7 linked regions of the Macaca fascicularis genome follow. The protein of the gene in region 5 interacts with the protein of the main gene of each other region in a pairwise test. Links are inferred from orthologs where the notes say so. Each region holds a gene or a part of one and is shown on either strand. Other genes may lie near its edges.

What was found.
Region 1: the proteins of PPP1CC (region 5) and CNST interact in a two-hybrid assay, tested with the Homo sapiens proteins (2 studies listed by BioGRID and IntAct). The link is inferred for Macaca fascicularis from reciprocal best matches to the Homo sapiens genes PPP1CC and CNST.
Region 2: the proteins of PPP1CC (region 5) and TOR1AIP1 interact in binary tests that used the Homo sapiens proteins (3 or more experiments, as listed by UniProt). The link is inferred for Macaca fascicularis from reciprocal best matches to the Homo sapiens genes PPP1CC and TOR1AIP1.
Region 3: the proteins of PPP1CC (region 5) and PPP1R15B interact in binary tests that used the Homo sapiens proteins (3 or more experiments, as listed by UniProt). The link is inferred for Macaca fascicularis from reciprocal best matches to the Homo sapiens genes PPP1CC and PPP1R15B.
Region 4: the proteins of PPP1CC (region 5) and PPP1R18 interact in a two-hybrid assay, tested with the Homo sapiens proteins (2 studies listed by BioGRID and IntAct). The link is inferred for Macaca fascicularis from reciprocal best matches to the Homo sapiens genes PPP1CC and PPP1R18.
Region 6: the proteins of PPP1CC (region 5) and AATK interact in binary tests that used the Homo sapiens proteins (3 or more experiments, as listed by UniProt). The link is inferred for Macaca fascicularis from reciprocal best matches to the Homo sapiens genes PPP1CC and AATK.
Region 7: the proteins of PPP1CC (region 5) and INSYN1 interact in a two-hybrid assay, tested with the Homo sapiens proteins (2 studies listed by BioGRID and IntAct). The link is inferred for Macaca fascicularis from reciprocal best matches to the Homo sapiens genes PPP1CC and INSYN1.

The regions. Positions count from the first base shown.
Region 1 is NC_088375.1:2,528,400-2,531,899, forward strand, and holds part of CNST (consortin), read right to left. Parts: coding exon 3,224-3,500; intron 1-3,223. UniProt on the Homo sapiens protein: Required for targeting of connexins to the plasma membrane.
Region 2 is NC_088375.1:37,408,432-37,411,931, reverse strand, and holds the end of TOR1AIP1 (torsin-1A-interacting protein 1), read right to left. Parts: intron 3,353-3,500; coding exon 2,562-3,352; 3' UTR 430-2,561; downstream 1-429. UniProt on the Homo sapiens protein: Required for nuclear membrane integrity. Induces TOR1A and TOR1B ATPase activity and is required for their location on the nuclear membrane. Binds to A- and B-type lamins. Possible role in membrane attachment and assembly of the nuclear lamina.
Region 3 is NC_088375.1:62,230,608-62,233,596, forward strand, and holds part of PPP1R15B (protein phosphatase 1 regulatory subunit 15B), read right to left. Parts: intron 512-2,989; coding exon 290-511; 3' UTR 1-289. UniProt on the Homo sapiens protein: Maintains low levels of EIF2S1 phosphorylation in unstressed cells by promoting its dephosphorylation by PP1.
Region 4 is NC_088378.1:141,975,109-141,978,608, reverse strand, and holds part of PPP1R18 (phostensin), read right to left. Parts: intron 1,502-3,500; coding exon 1,291-1,501; intron 1-1,290.
Region 5 is NC_088385.1:117,603,167-117,606,666, reverse strand, and holds the end of PPP1CC (serine/threonine-protein phosphatase PP1-gamma catalytic subunit), read left to right. Parts: intron 1-629; coding exon 630-853; intron 854-1,055; coding exon 1,056-1,190; intron 1,191-2,063; coding exon 2,064-2,124; intron 2,125-3,026; coding exon 3,027-3,097; 3' UTR 3,098-3,421; downstream 3,422-3,500. UniProt on the Homo sapiens protein: Protein phosphatase that associates with over 200 regulatory proteins to form highly specific holoenzymes which dephosphorylate hundreds of biological targets.
Region 6 is NC_088390.1:87,576,426-87,580,509, forward strand, and holds the start of AATK (serine/threonine-protein kinase LMTK1), read right to left. Parts: upstream 2,801-4,084; 5' UTR 2,572-2,800; coding exon 2,517-2,571; exon of another isoform or gene 2,260-2,516; intron 1-2,259. UniProt on the Homo sapiens protein: May be involved in neuronal differentiation.
Region 7 is NC_088381.1:50,662,695-50,666,194, forward strand, and holds part of INSYN1 (inhibitory synaptic factor 1), read right to left. Parts: intron 2,868-3,500; exon of another isoform or gene 2,794-2,867; coding exon of another isoform or gene 2,776-2,793; intron 961-2,775; coding exon 235-960; 3' UTR 1-234. UniProt on the Homo sapiens protein: Component of the protein machinery at the inhibitory synapses, probably acting as a scaffold. Inhibitory synapses dampen neuronal activity through postsynaptic hyperpolarization.

The sequences.
Region 1 (3,500 bases), on a different chromosome or scaffold from region 5:
AACCTGGGCAAGGTAGCATGATCCTGTCTCTAAAATAAAAATAATAATAATATAATCACACCTAAGGAAAGTGGAATAAAGGTCATGGAAGGGAGGAGTAAAAGGACTCATAATCTTAAAGCTATGACTGACTCATAGATATGCAACTAAGCATCAGTTCTTACATCATAAGATGCCTATAATCCCAACACTTTGGGAGGCCTAGGCAGGAGGATTGCTTGAGGCCAGGAATTTAAGATCAGCTTGGGCAACAGTGAGAGATCCTTTATCTACAGAAATAAAAATAAAAGAAAAATTCATCAGGCATGGTGGCACACGCCTGTTGTCCCAGCTACCAGAGGCTGCAGTGGGAGACTCTCTTGTGCCTGGGAGGTCAAGGCTGCAGAGAGCCACGGTCATGCCACTGTACTTCAGCTTGGGTGACAGAATGAAACGCTGTCTTGAAAATAAAACCACAGCCGGGCGCGGTGGCTCACGCCTGTAATCCCAGCACTTTGGGAGGCCGAGGCGGGCGGATCACAAGGTCAGGAGATCGAGACCACGGTGAAACCCCGTCTCTACTAAAAATACAAAAAATTAGCCGGGCGCGGTTGTGGGCGCCTGTAGTCCCAGCTACTCGGGAGGCTGAGGCAGGAGAATGGAGTGAACCCGGGAGGCGGAGCTTGCAGTGAGCCGAGATCGCGCCACTGCACTCCAGCCTGGGCGACAGAGCGAGACGCCGTCTCAAAAAAAAAAAAAAAAAAAAAAAAAAAAAAAAAAAAAAACCACAAAATCGGATTGAGAGGCCTGGTGAATTTGCCCTTGAATGATAGTTATAGAATGATTTATATATACATAGTACTATAAATATCCTCTGCTTATTAGATCTTTTAAGAAATGCTTTCGCGGGGCGTGGTGGCTCACGCCTTTAATCCCAGCACTTTAGGAGCAGAGGTGGGCGGATCACTAGGTCAGGAGTTTGAGACCAGCCTGGCCAACATGGTGAAACCCTGTCTCTATTAAAAATACAAAAAAAATAAGCGGGGCGTGGTGGTGCACGCCTGCAATCCCAGCTACTCAAGAGGTTGAGGCAGGATAATCATCCGAGGCAGGATAATTGCTTGAATCCGGGAGGCGGAGGTTGCAGTGAGCCGAGATCACGCCACTGCACTCCGTACTGGGTGAGAGCGTGGCTCGCCTCAAAAAAAAAAAAAGCTTTCATATCCCTGGTTACAAATTATTTTAAATCTCCTAAGAAAAGGAGACTCCTAAGTCTCCCTCGGCTCACAGGGACATGAAAAGCCAAATTATCAGTTACATTAACCAGAAAGCCAGATTATGAATTATATTAAAAAGTTTTCAAATTACCTTATAGAATAAATATGGATTAATTTGTAGAAACTGAAAAGTTTTGGCCGGGCGCGGTGGCTCAAGCCTGTAACCCCAGCACTTTGGGAGGCCGAGATGGGCGGATCACGAGGTCAGGAGATCGAGACCATCCTGGCTAACACGGTGAAACCCCGTCTCTACTAAGAAATACAAAAAAAATAGCCGGGCGAGGTGGCGGGCGCCTGTAGTCCCAGCTACTCGGGAGGCTGAGGCCGGAGAATGGCGTGAACCCGGGAGGCGGAGCTTGCAGTGAGCTGAGATCCGGCCACTGCACTCCAGCCTGGGCTACAGAGCGAGACTCCGTCTCAAAAAAAAAAAAAAAAAAAAAAAAAAAGAAACTGAAAAGTTTTATATTTTACTTCAAATTTTAAAAATACAAATAAAAAATATGATATAGACAGATATATTTCTAATTAACCAAAGAAGAGAACAGAAGATGAAGAGACATTCCACTTAGTTCACTAGAGTCTGATGTAAAATCTGTTGGCTTGCGTAAAGTGATACTACACTAAGGAATCCAGTCTAGGGCATACCAAAACTTTCTAGGCTCACGTGTTTCTGATCAAAAATAACCAGAGGCTGCCTTTTCCCAAGGGGGCCCTGTGATTCAGGCCAAAAATTCCATAGCTCTAAACTTCAACTGCCAAACTGCATACACAAATGAGAAATACTCTGAATTACTTTTTAACCAAAGTGATACAGATAATTAGAACAGATGCCTTATTCAACACTACATATTAAATTGTATATTAATATATGTTCATGTACTTTATTTACCTGCTGAATGAGATGGAAAGATCTATGAAGAGGTCATACTAGCATCTAAACTCACAGGTTAGAGGTCAAAGCCACAGGAACGACAGAAGGCAATTTTAAAAGTTGATATTGGTAGAAAATGGTCTAACTTATAAAGGAGGAGACTGCATATATTTAAAGTACCTAATGTGAAAACATATACAAAGGATGTCAATTTCAGCACTTTTTTTTTTATTTTTTTTTTTTTGAGACGAAGTCTCACTCTGTAGCCAGGCTGGAGTGCAGTGGCACGATCTCGGCTCACCGCAACCTCTGCCTCCCAGGTTCAAGCGATTCTTCTGCCTCAGCCTCCAGAGTAGCTGGGATTACAGGCGCCCGCCACTGCATCCAGCTAATTTTTTTTTTTTTTTTTTTTTTTTTTTTGAGACAGAGTCTTGCTCTGTCGCCCAGGCTGGAGTGCAGTGGCGCAATCTCGGCTCACTGCAAGCTCCGCCTCCCGGGTTCACGCCATTCTCCTGCCTCAGCCTCCTGAGTAGCTGGGACTACAGGCGCCCGCCACCGCGCCCGGCTAATTTTTTGTATTTTTAGTAGAAACGGGGTTTCACCGTGGTCTCGATCTCCTGACCTCGTGATCCGCCCATCTCGGCCTCCCAAAGTGCTGGGGTTACAGGCGTGAGCCACCGTGCCCGGCCCAGCTAATTTTTTGTATTTTTAGTAGAGATGGGGTTTCACCATGTCAGCCAGGCTGGTCTTGAATCCCCAACCTCAGGTAATCCACCCACCTCAGCCTCCCAATGTGCTAATTACAAGTGTGAGCCACCGCACCCGGCCTTAGCACTGTTTATGATAGTAAAAGATTGGGAAGGGCCATAAGGAAGTGATTTAAAAAATTGTGTTACACCCATACAGTGAAACAGTGTGGAGACGTATCACATGCACGGAATATCACTCAGTTGGATCTACTTGTGCTATGGTGGAACTAGCTCCAGAATAGCTTAAGAAAGAAGCAAGATGCAGGACAGTAAAGACGGTATGGGAGGGGAAGGAGGTTCATTTTTAATTAATTAAAGAAGAGAATAAATACTATTTTAAAAAATACCTGGTGGTATCTTCTTAGCAGTCCCTTTTTTGCTTCTTGGACTTCTTTTTCCAGGTATTTTTTTGTCCTTTCCCAAGAAGGCCTGTTCATCTCTGGAGCCTTCACAAAGGGTGTTTTCTGAGTCCTCACCTGCGGCCACCTCGCAGCTCAATATGCAGCTTTCATTATTATTGAGACTGTCCTGCTCAGACACTTGGGGCTTTCCCATTGCACTGTCGCTGCTGGTCAGATGCTCAGGCCCGTCCCCATCAAGCTGATTTTCATTTTCATCTGATGC
Region 2 (3,500 bases), on a different chromosome or scaffold from region 5:
AAAATCTAAAAAAGCTCTTTAGGGAGGTGATGAAGAAAAGGTTAAGAAGCCAGGGGTTGTGACTCACACCTGTAATCCTAGCTACTTAGGAGGCTTAGGCAGGAGGACTGCTTGAGGCCAAGAGTTCAAAAACAGCCTGGGCAATATAGCGAGATCCCATGTCTACTTAAAAAAAAAAAAAGAAAGAAAAGCTGCTGTGGAGATTCTTTTGCCAAGTCAGGAATACCTAAATTAACTATATTTTTACAAACCCTAAGTGCCGAGATAAAATGGAAAGTTATGGCTATCTCACTTCTAACCAATGTACTTGCAAATGGCTCCAATTCTTTGGTTTTTGTTTCTCCTAGCCAAGGTTGCTAAAATTGTTCAAGGAAAAGACTTGGATTTCTTTTTTTAAATATGATAAATCATTAAATATATAACACAGAGTACAAACCAAGAAAGTAAATTTATTTAAATTACTAAAATAGCTTTTAAAGTCATTTACAGATCAGCTGCTATAATTATTTTTCCTGAAAGACACAGGTAACATATTACTTTTAAATTACTTGGGTCAGTGAAACATTTAATAAAAAGTTATTTCTCTATATAATATGTATGTATAAAATAAGCCTTTTCAAAAACTCTGGTTTTCATAATCCTCTATAAATCAGATGATCTGACTTCTAAGAGGAACAAATTATAGTAAGGGGCATACATTTATGAATACTGGTAGTACTAGAGGAAAGAAGTTAGACCACTCTACTACCACTTGTGGAACTCTCAAAGGGTAAATGACAAAGCCAATGACTGACTCTCTCTAAAAACAATATTTACATTTAATGGTTTGTGGACAATAAAAAAACAAGGTGGATAGATATAGAATTGTAACATTTTAAGAAAACCATAGCAGTTGACAGATGAGAAAGCTCAATTATAGATGCAAAGTTATAACTATACTACTATAGTAGTAAAGAAATACATTTCACACTCTTCATGTAAGTTCACTATCTTGGCTTGAGGCACTCCATAAAATGTATCACGTGCATAGTAAATCTTTATATTTGCTATGGTGTTGTACTAGAGGACCTGGACTGCAACAACTGGATGCACAGAAAACGAAATCTTCTTCAATAGCCCAGGACAGCAGGTTGACAAATGGTTTGTCAATTCCTGAAACTATTTCTTAATTCAAAACAAAAGCTTCAGGATGTGTCCAAAATAAACTGTTACGAATTGACCTAGTCTTTTTTTTTTTTTCTTTTTGAGACAGAGTTTTGTTTTTGTTGCCCAGGCTGGAGGGCAATAAGCCTGGTCTCGGCTTACTGCAACCTTTGCCTCCCGGGTTCAAGCGAATTCTCCTGCCTCAGCCTCCCAAGTAGCTGGGATTACAGGCATGTGCCACCATGCCCGGCTAATTCTTGTATTTTTAGTAGAGACAGGGTTTCACCATGTTGACCAGACTGGTCTCGAACTCCTGACCTCAGGTGATCCACCTGCCTCGGCCTGACCTACTCTTTTTTTTTTTTTTTTTGAGACGGAGTCTCTCTCTGTCGCCCAGGCTGGAGTGCAGTGGTGCGATCTCGGCTCACTGCAAGCTCCGCCTCCTGGGTTCACGCCATTCTCCTGCCTCAGCCTCCCGAGTAGCTGGGACTACAGGCGCCCACAACCGCACCCGGCTAATTTTTTGTATTTTTAGTAGAGACGGGGTTTCACCGTGGTCTCGATCTCCTGACCTTGTGATCCGCCCGCCTCGGCCTCCCAAAGTGCTGGGATTACAGGCGTGAGCCACCGCGCCCGGCCAACCTGACCTACTCTTAAGAGTCAAGTGAACAAATGTATTAAATCTTGCAATATACATGAAGAATCCTTGGGAGGGCCAAGAATTTTTCTTCAAGGAAGGAAAAAGGAGATATAAAAAACAAATCCCAATGGAATCCACTAAGATTAACAGTTCATATACCTATGTTTGACCTACACCTCAGTGGATTACTATAACATTTCCTCCCTTCAGCTTCCCCATTAATTTCTTCCTTGCCTTGTTCTTTCCACCTTCCAACAAACAAAAGAAAAAAAAATTCCAAACACACACCTACGTGACCTTTCATAACTTATGTTCCTATAGGCAGAAGCTAAGGAACTCACACCTACATGGTATAAAAGGGAACATAATGGGAAAATCCATGGTTACATTTAGGGAGCAATCTTACTAATAACTCAAGAAACTTAGTGAGAAATCTAAGTTAAAAAATCAGGAAGGTTCATAAGGAGACAAATCCCTTTCACTGGTCATACATAACTGTAATAATTCAGCCCAGAATCAAAATAGATTCTCTAAGGAACTGCATATAATCTGCACTCCTAAGATACCTTTAACACAGCTCTCAATGGAAACTGAAATGATTCTCTCATATCCTAGATAATTAGGTTGACAAATGATTTTTATGTTCTGTGTTTATGTAAGAACTTAATTTCCTTTAAAAAGAAACCAGTTCTTTCAAAAAGAGCTCTGAATTCTGTCTCTGGTTAGAAAATGTGAACAATTCTCAGAACTTGGGACATGATTTTTCTTCTCTCACTTCTTATAAGCAGATGCCCCTTTTCAAGGCATTTTCAGGTTGCACAGGCAGAACTAAGTGAGAAATGCGGCTCCAGAGGCCATTCAGTTTGTCTGGGTCCATATGATTGTAGGAGTTGGGTGTGTTAGAATTGGTGAACTTGACTTTAAGGAAATCTCTTACTTTTTCTTCAACTTCCTTTAGGCCTAGACTGGTTCCAAGTGTCTCTTCCTCCAATAAGACAGTCAGGACTAGGGCTACATCTTTGAAGGCTGCGTTTTCATGGTCACAATATTTGTAGAAGATCAAAGTAGAGCCTGCGGGCAATGACTCAAAGCGGTGTACCACAGCTGCATTCTGGCCGTTCTTAAATCCATTGCTCAGTTCTTGGTCTACCTCTAGTTTGACAGTATCACTGTCTTGAGTAGCTTTATCTGTCCCATCAATCCGGATGGCACGGACACTACGAAAAGAAGAATAGGCATCAGCAATTTGTTCACTCAGACACCTAAGCGCTTCTTCAGCATCTCGGGCAGCAGTGAGCAGCAAGATAGCAGGCTGAGACCGAGGATGGGAGCTATTAAGATGTTTTTCCAGGAATATTTGGCTCCTTTTCCACAGCTTCTCATCTTGACCTTGATACTTATTCTTAAGTTGATTCATCTGGTTCTGGAACTCTTGAACAGCAGTGGTTTCTACCTCAGGAGTACTAAAGAACCAAAGACTCCCAGAGGCAAGAGCAGCTATCAGAGGAAGTAGCCACCAGCAGCTCCTCTTGCCAAAAGATGCATTTTGGGGTTGTCCAGTCATTTCTACTTAGAAAAAAAGAAATGACAGATATAAATACCATTTTCTTAGATTCAAGGCAAGTGACTTTTAAAATCAGTATCAATCTTTGTAAACATTAGGTAAAAGAGAAAGAACTTTAAAGAAGAAAGCTGAAAATTTTCTTAATAAAATAAT
Region 3 (2,989 bases), on a different chromosome or scaffold from region 5:
GGTCCCCTTTTCACCTCATGCATGCAAAGGTCATTTAAAAGCACATCCAACTAAATCAAAAAAGGGAAGATTCGAAATTACACTAGTTCATCCTTCATCATCAGGGCTGGCTTCAAACCTGAATGTTTCTGAGTGGGATATGTTGGGAAAAAAAAAAAAATTAAACTAGATCCAAGTTACATTTCCTCTTAAAAAAAAAAGTCAAAGGACAGCTGCCAAGATTTGTTTTTAAAAGACACCTCTCAGGTAAGAGGTAGTGTATGCTATGACTACAGGCTGCCAACTCATCTTAACATTGCTTGAAAACATTAAGTCCTTTGAAGCATGTTCCCTGGAGTCTATTAAACATTCTTTCTCTGTGCTCAAATGTCAAGCAATATCCAATAGCATCTTCTGTTTCTTGAATTCGTTTCTGGAACCTGCATCCATCCCTTGCAAATTCTTCCCATGGTCCTTTGCGATCCTCATCACCACTTATATAATACTCAGTAACTTCTTCAAGGAAGGTTACCTACAAAAACAAAGACTAATTTTAATAACTCTCTAGGATCTTACAATTAGCGTTGAGGTCAATAACCCTTTATGCTACCAATTTTTTCATAATATAGAATATCTTACTATTCCCAACTAAAAATAACATCTTGTTCTTAGGAATATTTGGTTCCAGCTATATCTGAAGTTAAAGAAAAAAAAAAAAGTTCTGTCACACCTGTAATCCCAGCACTTTGGGAGGCGGAGGCAGGCAGATTACCTGAGGTCAGGAGTTCAAGACCAGCCTGGCCAACATGGCGAAACCCTGTCTCTACTAAAAATACAAAAAAATTAGCCAGGCGTGGTGGCGCACGCCTGTAATCCCAGTTACTCAGGAGGCTGAGGCAGGAGAACAGCTTGAACCTGGGAAGTGGAGGTTGCAGTGAGCCGAGATCGCACCACTGTACTTCAGCCTGGGCAACAAGAGCGAAACTCTGTCTCAAAAAAAAAAAAGGTCTGATTAGATGGCATTTGGATAAAATAGTAACAAATGTCACCTAAATATTTCATGTAGAGACATATATCTTTCATTTATATATATATATCCTTCATTTATCTATATCTGCATAATACACACATACAGTCGTCTGCCCCCACGCATCCCCCACCAGCCCTTGGCTTTTGGTGTTAATAAAAAGAATCCAGATGAGGAATTGAATTTTTCATGCTGTTATTAACCCCTGCTATTTTTTAATCCTTAGGGAAATACAGTTCTGTGATATTCTTCCCTCAAAATGATAAGCAAAATATTTCTGAAAATAACCGCCATATCCCCGGAAGTCACTGTTTTTATCATTGCATAAAGGCTTTAACAATATTTTTGCTTACTTCTATTCTTTTTCCTTTTAGAAAATGTTTTCACTTTCCAACTTTTAAATCAACATGTAGTACTATTTTTGTATCATTACTTTGGCAATAACAATACAGAAGAGAAAAAGTTACTTAGTAAACAAAGTACAGCAAAATTAGTATTTTTAACGCTGTGTTACTCTAAGAAACTTTGTAGTTAAGATTTCAAAAACCTTTGTATTCAATATGCTATCCTATATATGAAATTGTGATTCTAATATACATAATGACATGTAATGAGTGACAATCCCTACTCATTACTACTTAATCACTACTTAATTTCTATGAAGCTTCTTTCTAAGCTATCAAACTCCAAAAGCAAATACTCGCTTTAAAGTATGTTTAATAGTTACATCAGCTAACCCTACTGTGGCCTACTACTTTCGTTCCCTTTACATCAGGCCAAGGGATGCCCCTGAGGACAATTAGCAGGTATGTAACACCTTACCAGTTATTGCATTCTAGTCTTGAATACTACTCATTCATTGTGTCATTAAGATAAATGATAAAAACATACAGTGTTTATCATATACCAGCTCTTTTCAAAGAGCTTCACATTTTTATCTCATTTAATCCTCACATTAACCCTATGAGGTACGGATCATTATACAGATAAGAAAACAGAGGTAGAAGGGTTTTTTAGACTCACTACCCATCATCCTATATACTCCATATATTTCATACATCATACTCCATATATACCAACGACAGAGAGTCAAAGGCTGTCAAATAATTCTATCATATTCAGACATAATCATTTACAAATTCTGCTTCTAGTTCACAGTATCATCTACTCCACTCATTTCATTTTACTCAATGAGCAAGCTAAAATTAGACATGAGACTGGCCTGAGGTCTCTCAATAAGAGCTAGCATTTAAAGGCAAGGCAATAAATTCTGAATTTTATTTACTTGTCTCATTTAAATCTTGCAATAACTTGTACAATAGATATTATTATTTTTCCCATCAAGTAAGAGTGAATTGAGGCCATGAGAGTCAAGTAACTTGCCAGGTCTGGCTGCCTTCCAAATCTCTCCGCCTTAACCACTGAGGAGTAGAGAACACGGGGCTCCAGCTGCCAAGTGCTCATTCCATTGCCCCACTTTGTTTCTTACCTATTCATTCTAAATAGGTCATTTTGTCAGGGGCCCCTTAAAAGGACAGAGAGATGGCATTTACACAGTGTGAACTAAAATTTAATTTTTAACATGACTTATTCTGCCCTAAAGGTAAGACGTAAGATTATCACCATTTGGAGATACTTTCTACCCAGGAATAATTTCAAAGTATTAAGCTGGCCATTTGGAGCCAAGAGATTATGGCACTGTCCATCTGAAACTCCCCAGTGCGGCAGAAGCTGAGGTCAGTAATAACTCACCCAATATCTTCTCTTTCCAAGTAACGGCATAGAAAACTAAAAAAACTTTCCCTCTACAATAGACACCTTTCGGTTTGCGGAGAGTTCAATTAATAACTTTAGTTAAAGCAACTATAAAGAAAAACAAACCAACTCAAAACGCTCCCAAAATAAGGTTAACCTGAAATTAGCCTGGGAATAGGAAGCAACTAGTCAAGATAAACCAAGTAAGTGGCCATCACTGTTTTTATT
Region 4 (3,500 bases), on a different chromosome or scaffold from region 5:
AGGTAGTTTTTGGTTTCTGTTTTTTTGAGACGGAATTTCACTCTGTAGCCCAGGCTGGAGTGCAGTGGCATCATTTCGGCTCACTGCAACCTCTGCTTCCCAGCTTCAAGTGATTCTCCTGCCTCAGACTCCCGAGTAGCAGGGATTGCAGGTGTCCACCTCCATGCCTAGCTAATTTTTGTATTTTTAGTAGAGATGGGTTTTCACTATGTTGGCCAGGCCGGTCTTGAACTTCTGACCTTGAGTGATCCACCTGCCTCAGCCTCCCAAAGTGCTGGAATTACAGGCGTGAGCCACCTTGTCTGGCCTGTTTGTTTCTTTCGAGACAGGGTCTTCCTCTATTGCCCAGGCTGGAGTGCAGTGGGTGGTACAATATCGGCTCACTGCAGCCTCCAACTTCTGAGGTCAAACGATCCTCCCACCTCAGCCTCCCAAGTAGCTGGAACCACAGCTGTGCACTGCCACACCTGGCTAATTCTTTTATTTTTATTTATTTATTTTTTTTAGAGATGGAGTCTCGCTCTGTTGTCCAGGCTGGAGTGCAGTGGGGTGATCTCGGCTCACTGCAAGCTCCGCCTCCCAGGTTCACACCATTCTCCTGCCTCAGCCTCCCAAGTAGCTGGGACTACAGGTGCCCACCACCACGCCCGGCTAATTTTTTTTTATTTTTAGTAGAGATGGAGTTTCACCGTGTTAGCCAGGATGGTCTCAGTCTCCTGACTTCATGATCCGCCCGCCTCGGCCTCTCAAAGTGCTGGGATTACAGGCGTGAGCCACCGTGCCTGGCCCACACCGGGATAATTTTTGTATTTTTTTGTAGAGACAGGATTTTGCCATGTTGCCCAGGGTGGTCTTGAACTCCTGGGCTCAAGCGATCCACCCGTCTTGGCTTCCCGAAGTGCTGGGATTACAGGCATGAGCCACAGGAGGTAGTTATTATTAACTTCATTTCATAAATAATAAACTAAAGCCAGATATCGGATGGTTTCCTTGAGATCACACAATTAAGAGACAAGCTGCAATTCCAACTCAGGCCTGTAGACCCACCCTGTGGTTTTGACCAGATTACGGTACTCAGGAAGAGTTCTCGTTTTGAAACTTGAAGACTCAATGTGTACTTCACTGCCCGGGACCTCAGTTTGCCCATCTATTGAAGGAGCAGGTTGGACCAGAGGACCACCAAGCCCCTTCCAAGCGCCTACATGCAATCCTCCCTCCTCTTCTCTCCTGGACCGCAGCGCCAGCTCTGACAGCAGGGGGCGCTCTCGAGCCGGCGGAGCGTCCGCTTACCCACAATCAGGGCCTTGGTGCGCAGCCCGCCCTGGAGCTCTGGCTGCAGCAGCAGCAGCTCTTCCTCATCCTCTTCGTCGTCGGGTTGGGCTGCTGGGGGGTTGGGGGCACTGGGGACCTCAGGCTCCGGGCCCAGCTCCTCCAGTACCGAACTCTCGGAGGGGTATTGGTACGTGGTCTCCAGGGCTGTCTCGCTGAAGGAGATCTTAAGCTGAAGGAGGGAGAAAAAGGGGGCAGGAGGCAAGGTCAGCAGGGGTGAGGCCCGTGGGGGTTGAGGGGGAGAAAGCGGGGGGCGGGGGGGAGTCTGCAAGGGAGCAGGTGGGGCGGGGGAAAGGTGGGGGTGGGGGTTGGACTTAGGCGCCCCCCTCACTCTCTCCCATCCACTTTGGGATCCAGTTTTCCTTTACACACTGGCTTTCCAATCCTAGAGTTTCCCTCTTCGATCATATCATTTCAAAACATCAGACTTTGCCCTGTATGTTGGCAGGGGCTTGGGAGGCAGAAGTGAATAACATAAGACCAAGGTCCCTGCTCTTTCGAGTGTGGGAGGCAGAGGGGTAAAAAGAAATTAAAATACGTGGCGATTAGTCTTGTGATCAGAACCGAGTCTTTGGGCACCTTGGAGGCAATAGAGTAAACTTCCCAGAGGAGCCCAGCAGACTGGCCAGTGGGGAAAGAGTAAACTTCCCAGAGGAGCCCAGCAGACTGGCCAGTGGGGAAAGAACTGGCTGGGGAGCCAGTCTCAACCAAAACCATGGTTTTCATACCCACAGCCCCTTGCTGTCCTATGCGAAACCCAGGAGCCTGGGCACCTGTTCCCTCCCACTCCCCTCATTCCTCTCCTATCCATAGCAAAGGGGGTCTAGGGCCTGGGAAGAGATGGGAGATGAATAGAAAGGCCCAGAGGAACCAAGAGACTCCCACAACACACAGGGGAAAGATTAGCCGCTGACACCTTGAAAGGTTGGGGGAGATGACAAGGGCAGAAAGGAAAGTCCACACAAACCTGGGGTGGGGTTTGAGCCCACAGTGTGCTCAAAGGGACAGGCGCAGAGACAAAATACCAGACAGGGCACAGAAAAATCACACTGTGCCAAAAGCAGGTGAGTCCCAGCTGTTCTCACTGCCTTTCTACCCTTCCCCTTTGCCCTCTTAAGAAGCTCAGGGGGAAGGGGCAGGGTGGGATTAAGTCTAGGAGCCAAAGGGATTAGGCAGACAGCAGGAGGATTCCATGTGGACTACTTGGAAAGGTCCAAATGATCTACTCAGGCCTTCCCTGGCATCTGTTTGGGAGGACTTGGGGCCAGTCGAACATCCCTGAGTCCCCTAATGGACTGAGGTATGAAAAGGGAGAAGCCAGAAGGGTGGCTGGGCAGGTGGTTGCTAAGAGCTGCATCAGATATGACACCAGTCGGGCACGGTGGCTCACGCCTGTAATCCCAGCACTTTGGGAGGCTGAGGCAGGATTATTTCTCGAGCCCAGGAGTTGGAGACAAGCCTGTGCAATAGAGTGACACTGTCTCTAAAAAAGAAAAAAAAAAATCAGATATGACACCTGGGTCCCCATGGGAAAATGGAACTCGGGAACTGTGTATGTTACTCCTTGTTGGCTCCAAACCCCACATTGTCTCCCCATCTCACTTGGAGCAAAAAGTCTACTCGAGGCTGGGCGCGGTGGTTCATGCCTATAATCCCAGCATTTTGGGAGGCCGAGGCGGGCGGATCACAAGGTCAAGAGATTGAGACCATCCTGGTCAACATGGTGAAACCCGTCTCTACTAAAAATACAAAAAAATTAGCTGGGCATGGTGGCGTACGCCTGTAGTCCCAGCTACTCGGGAGGACAAGGCAGGAGAATCACTTGAACCCGGGAGGCGGAGGTTGCAGTGAGCCGAGATCACGCCAGTGCACTACAGCTTGGGCAACAGAGTGAGACTCCACCTCAAAAAAAAAAGTCTACTTGATTGCCCCAAAGGTGCCCAGAGCCTGACCAAAGCCTACAGGGTGCTCCCAATGTGCCACCCTCCCCTTGCCTCTCTGGCCTCTTCCTTCACTCCAGCCACACTGGCGTTGGTCCCTCCACGCACTCCCACCTCAGGACCAGAAAAGTACTAGCTATTCCTTCTGCCTAGAACACTCCCCTGAAATATCCCCATGGCTCTGACCCTCCTGATCACCCCATTTTGAAGTCTCCATATTCACTCCCCCTG
Region 5 (3,500 bases):
AATAGTAATTGCAAAGAGAATTTCTTTTCATGTATGGTGTGAAATTAATCAGCCATCAAAAAGCCAACATAATGTCTTTTATCTCTGTGCTTCTATACTTACACAGGTTTTGGTAGAGTTGGATACATGGTTTTTAACTCTTATAATATGCATCCCATATTGTAACTCGATACAATGAGCTCTTGTAGATTTTAATGGTCTATGAATAGTGCAGATTTCCTAGAGAACTACCTCTCACTGAGCATCCTTATCTTCTCAGCTCAGTCATTATAAGCCATCAATCGTAACATTGCTCATTATTGTCATCAACTGGGGAAGCCCATAGAAGAGTTTTTTAAATCACTGGATTTTGTTTTACAGTGTTCTGTATAATATAACTGCCTCCATGTACTGTTTAAACCTGCAGCACCCCATGCATTACTGCATATAATTCTAGTGTGTATCCAGTTGTCCTTTTTCTGTGTGTGTGTGTGTTTTTTTTCTTTTAACCAAAAGTAAATAAAATATAATCCGATTTCAGTTTTTGTGTCAGGATTATTGAATTTCTCTGTAGACAAATGGAACTTTTGAAGGGGTAATATCCTTTTAAAAGTTTTGCTTTCTTCGTTTTTCTTTTCCTCATTGAATAGGTTTATCACCAGATCTTCAATCTATGGAGCAGATTCGGCGAATTATGCGACCAACTGATGTACCAGATCAAGGTCTTCTTTGTGATCTTTTGTGGTCTGACCCCGATAAAGATGTCTTAGGCTGGGGTGAAAATGACAGAGGAGTGTCCTTCACATTTGGTGCAGAAGTGGTTGCAAAATTTCTCCATAAGCATGATTTGGATCTTATATGTAGAGCCCATCAGGTATTGATTTTGAATTTTACATGTACACTTAAGAGCATGTGTGTGAGCACAGATTCTCCTTGTTGATTTTGGTGGGTAGGTATTGCTTATTTATACAAAGTGTTTCTGGAACACAAGATATCAGGCTCAATGGGAAACTGAAACGTGGTTTTACTTACCTAATATTTGCACCTATTTATACTGAAAAAATTTTCTCTCGAAGGTGGTTGAAGATGGATATGAATTTTTTGCAAAGAGGCAGTTGGTCACTCTGTTTTCTGCGCCCAATTATTGTGGAGAGTTTGACAATGCAGGTGCCATGATGAGTGTGGATGAAACACTAATGTGTTCTTTTCAGGTAGAGCATGCTTTCAACATTATTTCCTTTTACTATGTTTGCACTTTGCTGGTTGAAAAATATAATTGCCACTTTTTGCCTAGTGTTCATTTATGCTAAGTAGGCTGTTTCTATTTTCCCTTAACCAGTGTGTGTTATAGTTGAATAATGTGTAGATCCCTTGTAAAAGAAAAAATTAATTATGGCACCTTTTCCCAGTGTTTAATTATGATTTTTTTGCATTGCATATTGGCTCCTTATGCTTTTATGGCTGTTTTACTGTAGATCTAAAACCATAATGACAATGTAATGTTCAGCTAAAATTAAATCACCACTTGCATGTGAAAAGTACTGAGTGCCTCGTGCTATGTGTTTACTTAGTTCTGCCCTCTAGTCTAATTTCCACAAAACTTCTGCTAATGTACCACGACATCATTTGGCCTTCAGTTGGCACAAAAGCATTATTTAGAATCTGCCTCAGCCTTTTTCTCATTTGCAAGTTTTTTTTGTTGTTGTTGTTGTTGTTTTTTACCAATTGTCAGAGAACTTGCAGCTTTCAAAATTCCAAAGATTGTGCAAGAATCCCCTGCAGTTTGGAGAAACACTTTTGTAAAGAACTTTCTCCCCTATACAGAAGGAATAGCTAAAGATATTACCAGTACTCAGAGACAAAATAATTTGTCCAGATCATAGATTTTTATCTCTTCATCATAGCCTTAATTACTAAATGTTTACATGTCAACTTAGCTTGTGTTAATATGCTAGGGAGGCTTTTACAGTTGTTGGGGCGTTGTAAACGCCATCTGAACAAAAGATCTGAATGAAATGTAAGGACTCTTTAAGATTTGGGGTTGAGTATATTTCCTAAATGAACTGTCTTTTGAATCTCTCCAGATTTTAAAGCCTGCAGAGAAAAAGAAGCCAAATGCCACGAGACCTGTAACGCCTCCAAGGGGTATGATCACAAAGCAAGCAAAGAAATAGATGTCATTTTGACACTGCCTAGTTGGGACTTGTAACATAGAGTATATAACCTTCATTTTTAAGACTGTAATGTGTACTGGTCAGCTTGCTCAGATAGATCTGTGTTTGTGGGGGCCCTTCCTTCCGTTTTTGATTTAGTGAATGGCATTTGCTGGTTATAACAGCAAATGAGAGACTCTTCACTCCAAAAAGAAAAGTGTTTTGTTTTTTAATTCTCTCTTCCTTTTGCAAACAATTTTAATGATGGTGTTAAAGCTGTACACCCCAGGACAGTTTATCCTGTCTAAGGAGTAAGTGTACAGTTGATCTTTTTAAATTCAGTACAACCCATAATCATGTAAATGCTCGTTTTCTTTAGGACATAAAGAGCCCTAGGGTGCTCCAAGTCTGTACATGTTCTTGTCATAAAATGCATACTGTTGATACAAACCACTGTGAACATTTTTTATTTGATAATTTTGTTTCAAAGGGATTGCTTTTTCCTCTCATTGTCTTGTTATGTACAAACTAGTTTTTATAGCTATCAACATTAGGAGTAACTTTCAACCTTGCCAGCATCACTGGTATGATGTATATTTAATTAAAGCACACTTTTCCCCTACCGTATACTTAAAATGACGATTAAAGCCATTCTTTTAAATATTTGTGACTCTTTCCTAAAGCCAAAGTTTCTGTTGAATTACGTTTTGGCACACCCCTAAGTACAAGGTGGTATGGTTGTGTACACATGCTGCCTTCTCGGGGATTCAAAAACAGGTTTTTGATTTTGAATAGCAATTAGTGATATAGTGCTGTTTAAGCTACTAATGATTAAAGGTAATAACATTTTGTACAATTTCCATATAGTCTATTCATTAAGTAATCTTTTTACAGTTGCATCAGGCCTGAACCCGTCCATTCAGAAAGCTTCAAATTATAGAAACAATACTGTTCTATACGAGTGACCGATTATGCTTTCTTTGGCCTACATTCTTTATTCTGCGGTGAAGTTGAGGCTTATAAGTTAAAACAAAGGAACTAACTTACTGTCCACCAGTTTATACAGAACTCACAGTATCTATGACTTTTTTTAAACTAAGATCTGTTAAAAAAGAAATCTGTTTCAGCAGATGACCGTGTACAATACCATGTGGTGAAAATGAATTCAGACTTATTAAATGATGAACTTGTTAAATCCTCTCAGTGTCTATTTATCAGCACAATACACACAGGAGAACTGTTGATGGCATATTGAATAGATTTTCCTGAATAAATTGCTCTGGAAACCACATGGTTGCATTTTGGTTTTGTCTTCTTTCATATAGTCTGTTTTCCAAAGATGGATTATAATACAGATACTAATACTCT
Region 6 (4,084 bases), on a different chromosome or scaffold from region 5:
CCTTCCCTGGCCGCCATGCCCACCCCAGAGCGAGGTTTCATCTGTGCAGAGTGGAGTTCAGAGAGGCTGGGTGAGGAGCCCGAGGCCACACAGCACAGAGGCTGGAGGGCTGCAGCTGCCAAGAAATCCCCCAGGGTCACTCACCCACGCTCCCGAGTGCCAGGGAGATGGGGGAAGAGCTGGGCTCCAGAGGAGGCGGCTCTTCCTGGTGCTCGAGCAGGCTTCTGGGCTGGGTGCCCCCCTGCCCTGCCCACATCTGCCTGGCGCGGAAGAAGGTCGGGGCCCAAGCAGCCCACAGTCTGTGCCCACAGCCTCCACTCTAGCTCAGGCCCTGCACTCTCGGGCATCTTTGCCCCCTGTACCACCACAACTGCCATCACCTCTATGGAGACTGGCACCAGCTCCTGTGATGAACAAGGAGCTGGCCCGGCAGCGGGGCGGGGCCTGGTGACTGAGGTGAGACCCCCGTGCCCAGGTGCTGGCACTGCCCCAGATGCTGAGTGACACACAAGTCAACTGCCAGAGCCACAAGCGTGGGCCCCTCCCCTCTGGGTGCCCCCCACAGACACAAGCAGCCTCAGAAGGAACCAACTCGCTCCAGTTCAGGGATGGCAAGGAGCCAGCCGTGTGCTGCAGGAAGCTTGGGCCCTGGGGGGTCTCTGTCCCAGCACCACGACCTCCAGCACAGAGCCAAGTGCTCACCAAGCACTAAGCCCACCTGGGCCTGCCACAGGTACTGTCAGCGCATGTTATAGATGGGAAAACCAAGGTTCACAGAGGCAAGGCCAGGCAGAGGGACTGCAGCGCCGGGCAGCCAGGCTTGGAAGACTGGGCTAAGTTTAGCGGGAGGGCACGGGACCCCCCTCTCCTCCCTAACCCCCTCAAGGGTGCTGCTGCAGAGCCTAGACACAGCCCCTTAATCCGAAGGAGGGTACTCTTCCCCACCAGCACCAGAACCTCAGGCAGCCTCTCCTGGCAGGTGGGCCCTGGAGCCCAGCAGGTGCCTGCAGCTCTGGCCCAGCATCTTGCAGAGGAGAAACACCCCTTGTCTCCAACAACTTCTTCTCCTCTAAGTCATTAAATGGACACATTGGAATTACTCAGATCACAGCTGTTTACCCAGGGAAGGGCAGAGCCAGGGCTACTCAAAGGCAGGGGAAAGGGCTTCTCATGGCGAAGGGCAAGGCCGGGCCCCAAGGGAGGGTGTGGGCTGAGGGTCCCCTCTCTTCTGGGGACAGAAAGGACCAAGCACCGTGGGCCACGCCTGGCATGCAGATGCTATGAGGACCTGCCCCAAGCCTCCTCCACCCCCTGCCCTCGGGAGACATCACAGCTGTTGTGGGGGCTGCTGGGCTCTGGGCCTTCACCTGCCCACCACCCAGGGACTTCTGAGCCCCAGGAGTCACTAAAGGAAGTCGTTTCTGAGCAAGTGACACCCACAGCCCTAAGCCCAGCAGACAGACCTCCCACCAGCTCCCTTCCTCCGAGAAGCAAATGCCTTCAGACCAAGATCTGCCCGGGGGACCCCCGTGTATCCCTGCCAGACTGCATGCCCTGGGCCCTGCTCCAGGGAAGGAGACACAGGAGATCGCGTCACATGCAAACACGCTTTGTTTGGGCTGGCTCAGCCTGGTGCCAGAGCCCCAGTGACGTGTGGGTGGGACTTGGCCCTGGGGCCATGGATGGCACAGGGCGGGGGGGGGGTTATCTCCCACTCAGGCCAAGCAGGGGCCGGATCTGAAGAAGCAGAGGTTAGAAAGCCCACTGCTTCCTGGTGACGGATGGGGCTTCCAGCTGCCCCCAGCCCCCTCTGCCTATCCCAGCTGTCCACCGCAGCCAGGAAGCCAGGCAGCCATGGGTAATCGTGCCCTGCCTGGTGCACTGGCCACACAGGGTAAGAGGCCTGGCCTCAGGTCCCCTGCAGCCAGCTTGACAGCGTCACCTCGGGCCCCCACTGTCAGGGGGTCTGGGCATCCACCAAGCCCCTCTCTTCTGAGCCTCTGCCCACTGGGCTCTGTCATGTGGACTGGCCCCTGCTCCCCCCACATCCCCCGCCCGCTGCTGGTGGCTGGGCAGGGCTCCGAGAACCGCTCCCAGCCTGGGAAGAAGCCTCCCACGCCAGGGCCCCGGACCCAGGAGAGGCCATGGCAAGCCTGAACCCCATCTGGCTGACACCCTCCACATCCCCAAGGGCCCTTAGTCTGAGACCAACTCTCCTGGACACCTGGGGCCCACGCAGGCCCTCTGTGCCCCAGTTACCTGTGCCCGGGAGGCAGCCACGGAGTCACGACCAGGCGGGGGACGCCAGCCCACAGGAGGAGGCCGGTTTGTGCTGGGGCCCAAGGCCTGCCCCTCCGAGATCTGGGGCCGCCAGGGGGTCCGGCTGCTTCTGCGACTGGGCTCGGGGCGGGGAAAGGGTTAATTTCCATGCAAACCGGGAGCCGGTGGGGCCCAACGGCATCACGTCCGCAGCGGAGGGAGGCAGCGGCGCGCAGGCCGGGCCGCCAGGGACTCACCGGGGTCGAAGTGCGAGCTGAAGGCGAAGCTGGGGTTGAAGAAGGACGACGACATGGCCGGGCCAGCGGCCGGCGGGCATCCCGGGCGGGCGCTGCGCTCAGGACGCCCGCGGCCCCGGCCCGCGCCGCCGCATCACCCAGCGGCCGCCGCAGGTGCGGAGCGCGCCGGCCCCCGCGCCCCGCGCCCCCCGCCGCAGCCGCAGCGCCCGCACCGGTGGGGGCGGCGGCGACAGACGAGGCGCTCCGCCCGGCCCTGGCGCCGCGGGGCTCCGCTGGTGCAGTCCGAAAACGCGGGCGGGAGCGCGCGCGGAGCGGAGCGGGGGAGGGGGGGCTCCTCCGCGGCCGGGGTGGCATGGGGGGGCAGGGAGAGGGGGACACGGAGCGGGAGACGGAGGGGAGCATGGAGTGGGGGACACGGAGGGGGGACACAGAAGTGGGCATGGAGGGGGGACACGGAGGGGGGACATGGAGGGAGGACACAGAAGGGGGCTTGGAGGGGGGACACGGAGGGGAGGCATGGAGGAGGGGGGACGGGGGGCGTGCACGGAGGGGGGATGTCACGGAGCGGGGGGATGGGCCGGAGCAGGGAGCACGGAGGCCTGGGACTGAGAGGGGCACGGAGGCTGGTGGGTGGGAAACGGAAGTCATGAGTGGTAAGTCGTGAGTGGGTACGGAGGGAATGCCGGCGTGGGGGAGGGGGTGCTCCTAGGTGGGAAGGTTCAGGGAGACAGGTGGGGGAACCCGGGAGCACACCCAGGGCGGGGCTTGGTGCTCAGGGGCCCTCCCCTCACTTGGACGTTTGGAGGCAGCTGGTGTCCGTCCCCTTGCCCCATGTGCTTCGGGTGGCACCTGTGCTGGTGGAGTGGGGTCCTGGCTTTGCACACACGCCTGTTCTATTCCAGGCTGCGACAGCCATGAAGGAGGAACCTGGCTGAGTCTCCACCTGCCCTGGACTGTGCCATGTGCTTAGTGCAGCAGATTCGCCTGGGCACACAGGGGCCATCCCTTCCCTTATGTTTCTCCCAGCATCCCCCGTCCCTGCCCCAAAGCCCCACCTTGCAGGGTTGGCGCGGGGCAGGTTCCACCCAGCCCGCCCCTGTGGGAGCCGGGAGAATGAAGGTGCAGTGGAGGCTGGTCCTGGTGGCTCATGCCTGTAATCCCAGCATCTGGGGAGGCCAGGGCAGGCGGATGGCTTGTGCTCAGGAGTTCCAGACCAGCCTGGGCAACACAGCAAGACCCTTTCTCTACAAAAACTAGAAAAATGAGCCAGGCATGGTGGCGCTCACCTGTAGTGCCAGCTACTTGGGAGGCTGAGGTGGAAGGATCACTTGAGCCTGGGAGTTAGAGGCTGCGGTGAGCCAAGATGGCACCACTGCACTCCAGCCCAGGTGACAACGAAAACTTGTCTCAAAAAAAGTGTCCTGGAGACTCGCAGTTGAGTTTGATGCACCCTCATCCACTCATTCACTCACTCACTCATTCATTCACTCATTCACTCACTCACTCATTCACTCACTCATTCACTCATTCACTCATTCACTCACTCATTCATTCACTCACTCATTCAC
Region 7 (3,500 bases), on a different chromosome or scaffold from region 5:
CACCCCCTTCAGGAGCCCCACAATGAGAAGGGAGGAAGGGCAGTCCTGCCCACACCTCCTGGGACCTAGGAGGCCAGTGGGCATCTTCATGTCTAAGAGGAGCTCTGTGAAAGCTTTGGGGCCTGTGGGGCCAGATCCTTAGCATTTTTAAATTTTATTATGACTTCATTTGTTTAAATATATATATATATTTATAGCTCTATGTGCCCACCGCCCTGGCCCCCTCCCCAGCCCCTAGTTTTTCCCCCTGGCTTTCTGTCTAGTGGCTGTGTAAGGCAGCACCGTCTGTGTGCTCTTGTCTGACACTGTCTGGGTGCTGCTGTTCCTCGTGACCCTTCGAGTCTGTTCAGGGGCCAAGGTAGAGCCTGAGCGGCGGCTGGTCAGTGGAGAGCGCCGTGACTTGTAGGGGGCTGGGGAGGGCTTGTGGAGGCCTGCGTGGGCCTCTGTATGGGCAGGCTCTGGGGGCAAGCCCACCTCCTCCTCCTCCGCCTCCTGCTCGCCATCCCCCTCCTCATCGTCACAGCACAGAGCGTGGTAGAGCACTTTGTCACTGAACCGCACCCTCTCCCGCGTCCCTGGGGTCCGCTGGGGCAGCTGGCTCTTCACTGCGGGGCCAGCACCGAAGGCCTCCTCGCTGGAGGAGTCTGGGGTCTCCACTCGTGGCCCATTGGGGATGGGCGTGCCACCATTCATGAGGCGGTAGTCAGGGCCAGCCCCTGGCCGAGTCGACTCAGGACCGTCCACGGAGTCCGAGGGGGTAGAGACGTCCAGGAAGGAGCAGAACTCCCAGCTGTCTGAGAGGATATCGGCTGTCATGAAGTCCAGGTGGCCCAGGTCAAAGGGGCCGCCCACGCCCGCCTTGTCACTGCTAGAGGTGCTGCTCACAGTGGCTGTGGTCCAGTCGTCCGGCTCCAGTTCAAAGTCGAAGTCCGAAGTTAGCTTATCGATCTGGCTCACCACCTGACCAGGAAAGGGGAGAGGAGATGAGAGGGGCCAGGTGGGTCCCTGCGTCAGCCAGGTGTGTGTGTCTCTGTCCCGTCCCTGTAGAACCCCTGGCTGGTGAGCATACCGGACAGGGGAGAGCCTGCAGGACGGTGACCGGCCTGGAGGTCACAGGCTGGTTTGCCCTGTGGAGGGCCCAAATCAGATCAGGCTGGACAGAGCTTTTTCAGTGTCCTGGGGGAGAGGGAACTGCTTTCCAGCCCTGCACACCATCCATTCACTCACCCCTGTCTCCCAAACACAGCAGCTGCTCTGGGGGCAGCCCTGGTGATCAGGGATGAATCTTCCTTAGTTTGAGAGGGGGCCATTTCAGAGGGGCTGAGGGCCTCCAGCAAGCGCATTCCACAAGGAGCTGAGCAGCCCACACACCCTCAGAGAGGAAATGATGTGGGTGATCACAAGGAAGACCCTGTGTGGGCTTTCTAAAGCATCCTGGACCAGTCCTTGCAGCTGGCCGGTGACTGTCGCCCCTGGGTCTCCACCATCCATCAGGGCAAGAACACCAGGTGTACAGCACCGGCGGGGTCACCCCACCCCCATCTCCGTCTCCAAGAGCCTCCTCATTCCTTCCCCTTCCCTGCCCACTGACAAGTGGAGATCAATCCTGGCTTGTTGAGAGAAGGAATAAAGCAAGCATTATTTGATAAGCAATAAAGAAGCTATCTATTCTGGGCCCAGAGTTGCTTGTTCAATGCACTCAGGGGGCAGCTCAGCTGTGGAGATCACTCCACCCCGGCCTGCCTCGCATAAAGTGAAGCCCTCAGCTTCTATATAGGCGGCTCTGCCTTGGGATACTCCCTTGCCTGGGTGGCCACTGTCAGCACATAAATCAGGGAGGAAGACAGTGGGAGAAAGAGGGAGATTCAGTCAGAGACACAGGGACGGGACAGAGCAAGAGAAGGGAGAGAGAAGATTCCAACCAAAAACAAAACAGAAAAACAATGAAAACAAAGCAGAGATGCCAAGAGTCAGAGTGACAGAGACCAAGAGACCCACAGTGAGTTATCCAGATCAGAATCCAGCCCACAGCGCCTCTCCAGTGCCCTTCACCTGGGGTCAGAGCAGGCAATTAATTAATTAACTCAGTAAGTCCTTAATTCAATAAACATTTGCTGAGGACTGATGCTGTCCAGGGATGTGCTAGGTATTTGGCAAGGCGTTGGGGTAGTGAGTGCCCCAAAGTGAGAGGAAAGCAAGGACAAAAGTGATGGCCAGAGTGGTTTGGGCCAGTGGGAAGACTACTTGGTCAGGAGTCAGGGGCTGGATGAAGGAGACCTGGTCAACCATTTTCCCTCTCTAGGTCTCAGTTGCTCAGTCTGTATGCAGAGAGGGTGGGTGAACTAGTTTACTTCCAAGGTTCCTTCCACATCTGAGATTCTAGGACTCTGTTTATAGGAATGACTCTGAGAAGCTGCTTGAGTGCTGATGCCTCGGGATGGCCCCCTCAACCATTGCCCAGGACAGGAGTGGGATGAGGCCTCCAGAAGAGCTGGAGGAATCTGGACATCTGGATTCCAGACTTAGCTTTGACATTGTTCTGAGTGTCTTTGGGCAGGTCACAGAACCTCTCTGGACCTCAACCTCATTCACTGCCAAGTGGGTATGACAATCCCAGACCACCAAGTGAGCATGACAATCCCAGCCAACCTTATGAGAGCTTCATGAATAACAGTGAGAAGGGCAGCAAAAGGGCTCTGAGAAGCACTGGGGAAGAAAATGACACCATCTCCCATCTCTGAGCACCTATGATGCACCATACTTTCGAGTGCTCACCTCCACCCATGAGATCATTATCTCCTGTGTTTACAGATGAGGAGTCTTGGGCGCTAGTCCCTGGAAAGCTGAGAATCTCCCTCTGTGGCCCCCTGCAAAAGTGCACATGATCGTGAAGTGCTGCTGTGACTGCTGGGCTTGGGCAGGCGGTGGGGATAGGGCCCTACCCTCCAATCAGGCCACCTCTTCTTGTGCTTCTCCCAGGATGATGCCTTCCTGCACCAAAGGAACCTCAGAGAAACTCCTATCTCCCAGAAGCCCTTGCTCAACCCAAGCTCCACTTGAGGGCTGGTGGGAGCGCTGGCCTAGGGTAAGGGTCCTCAGACTTGAGTGTCCCTCAGCTCACTCCCAGAGTTTCTGGTTCTGCAGGTCTGAGGTGGTGCTGGAGAAGGTGCCTACCTAACATACCTCCAGGTGCTGCTGCTGCTGGTCCAGAGACATGCTTTGAAAACCACTAGCTTAGGGCACCGGGAGATTTAAGCTGGGTGAAGACCAGCAACTCAAGGCATTGATGACCTCAGGAGAGGCCCCATCACCTCTAGGGCAGCTATGCCCTCAAATGAGACTCCCCTGATCAAGCCAGAGCTGTGGAGTTTGCTGCCTGAGGGCGGGGCAGAATCCCATTAGGAATTGGAGTTGCATGACTTGGCTGTGACCTCGCAGGGTCAGCTGAGGCCAGGCTGGGCCCAGAAGCTAGGTCTCCTGATGCTTAATGAGGATGAGCA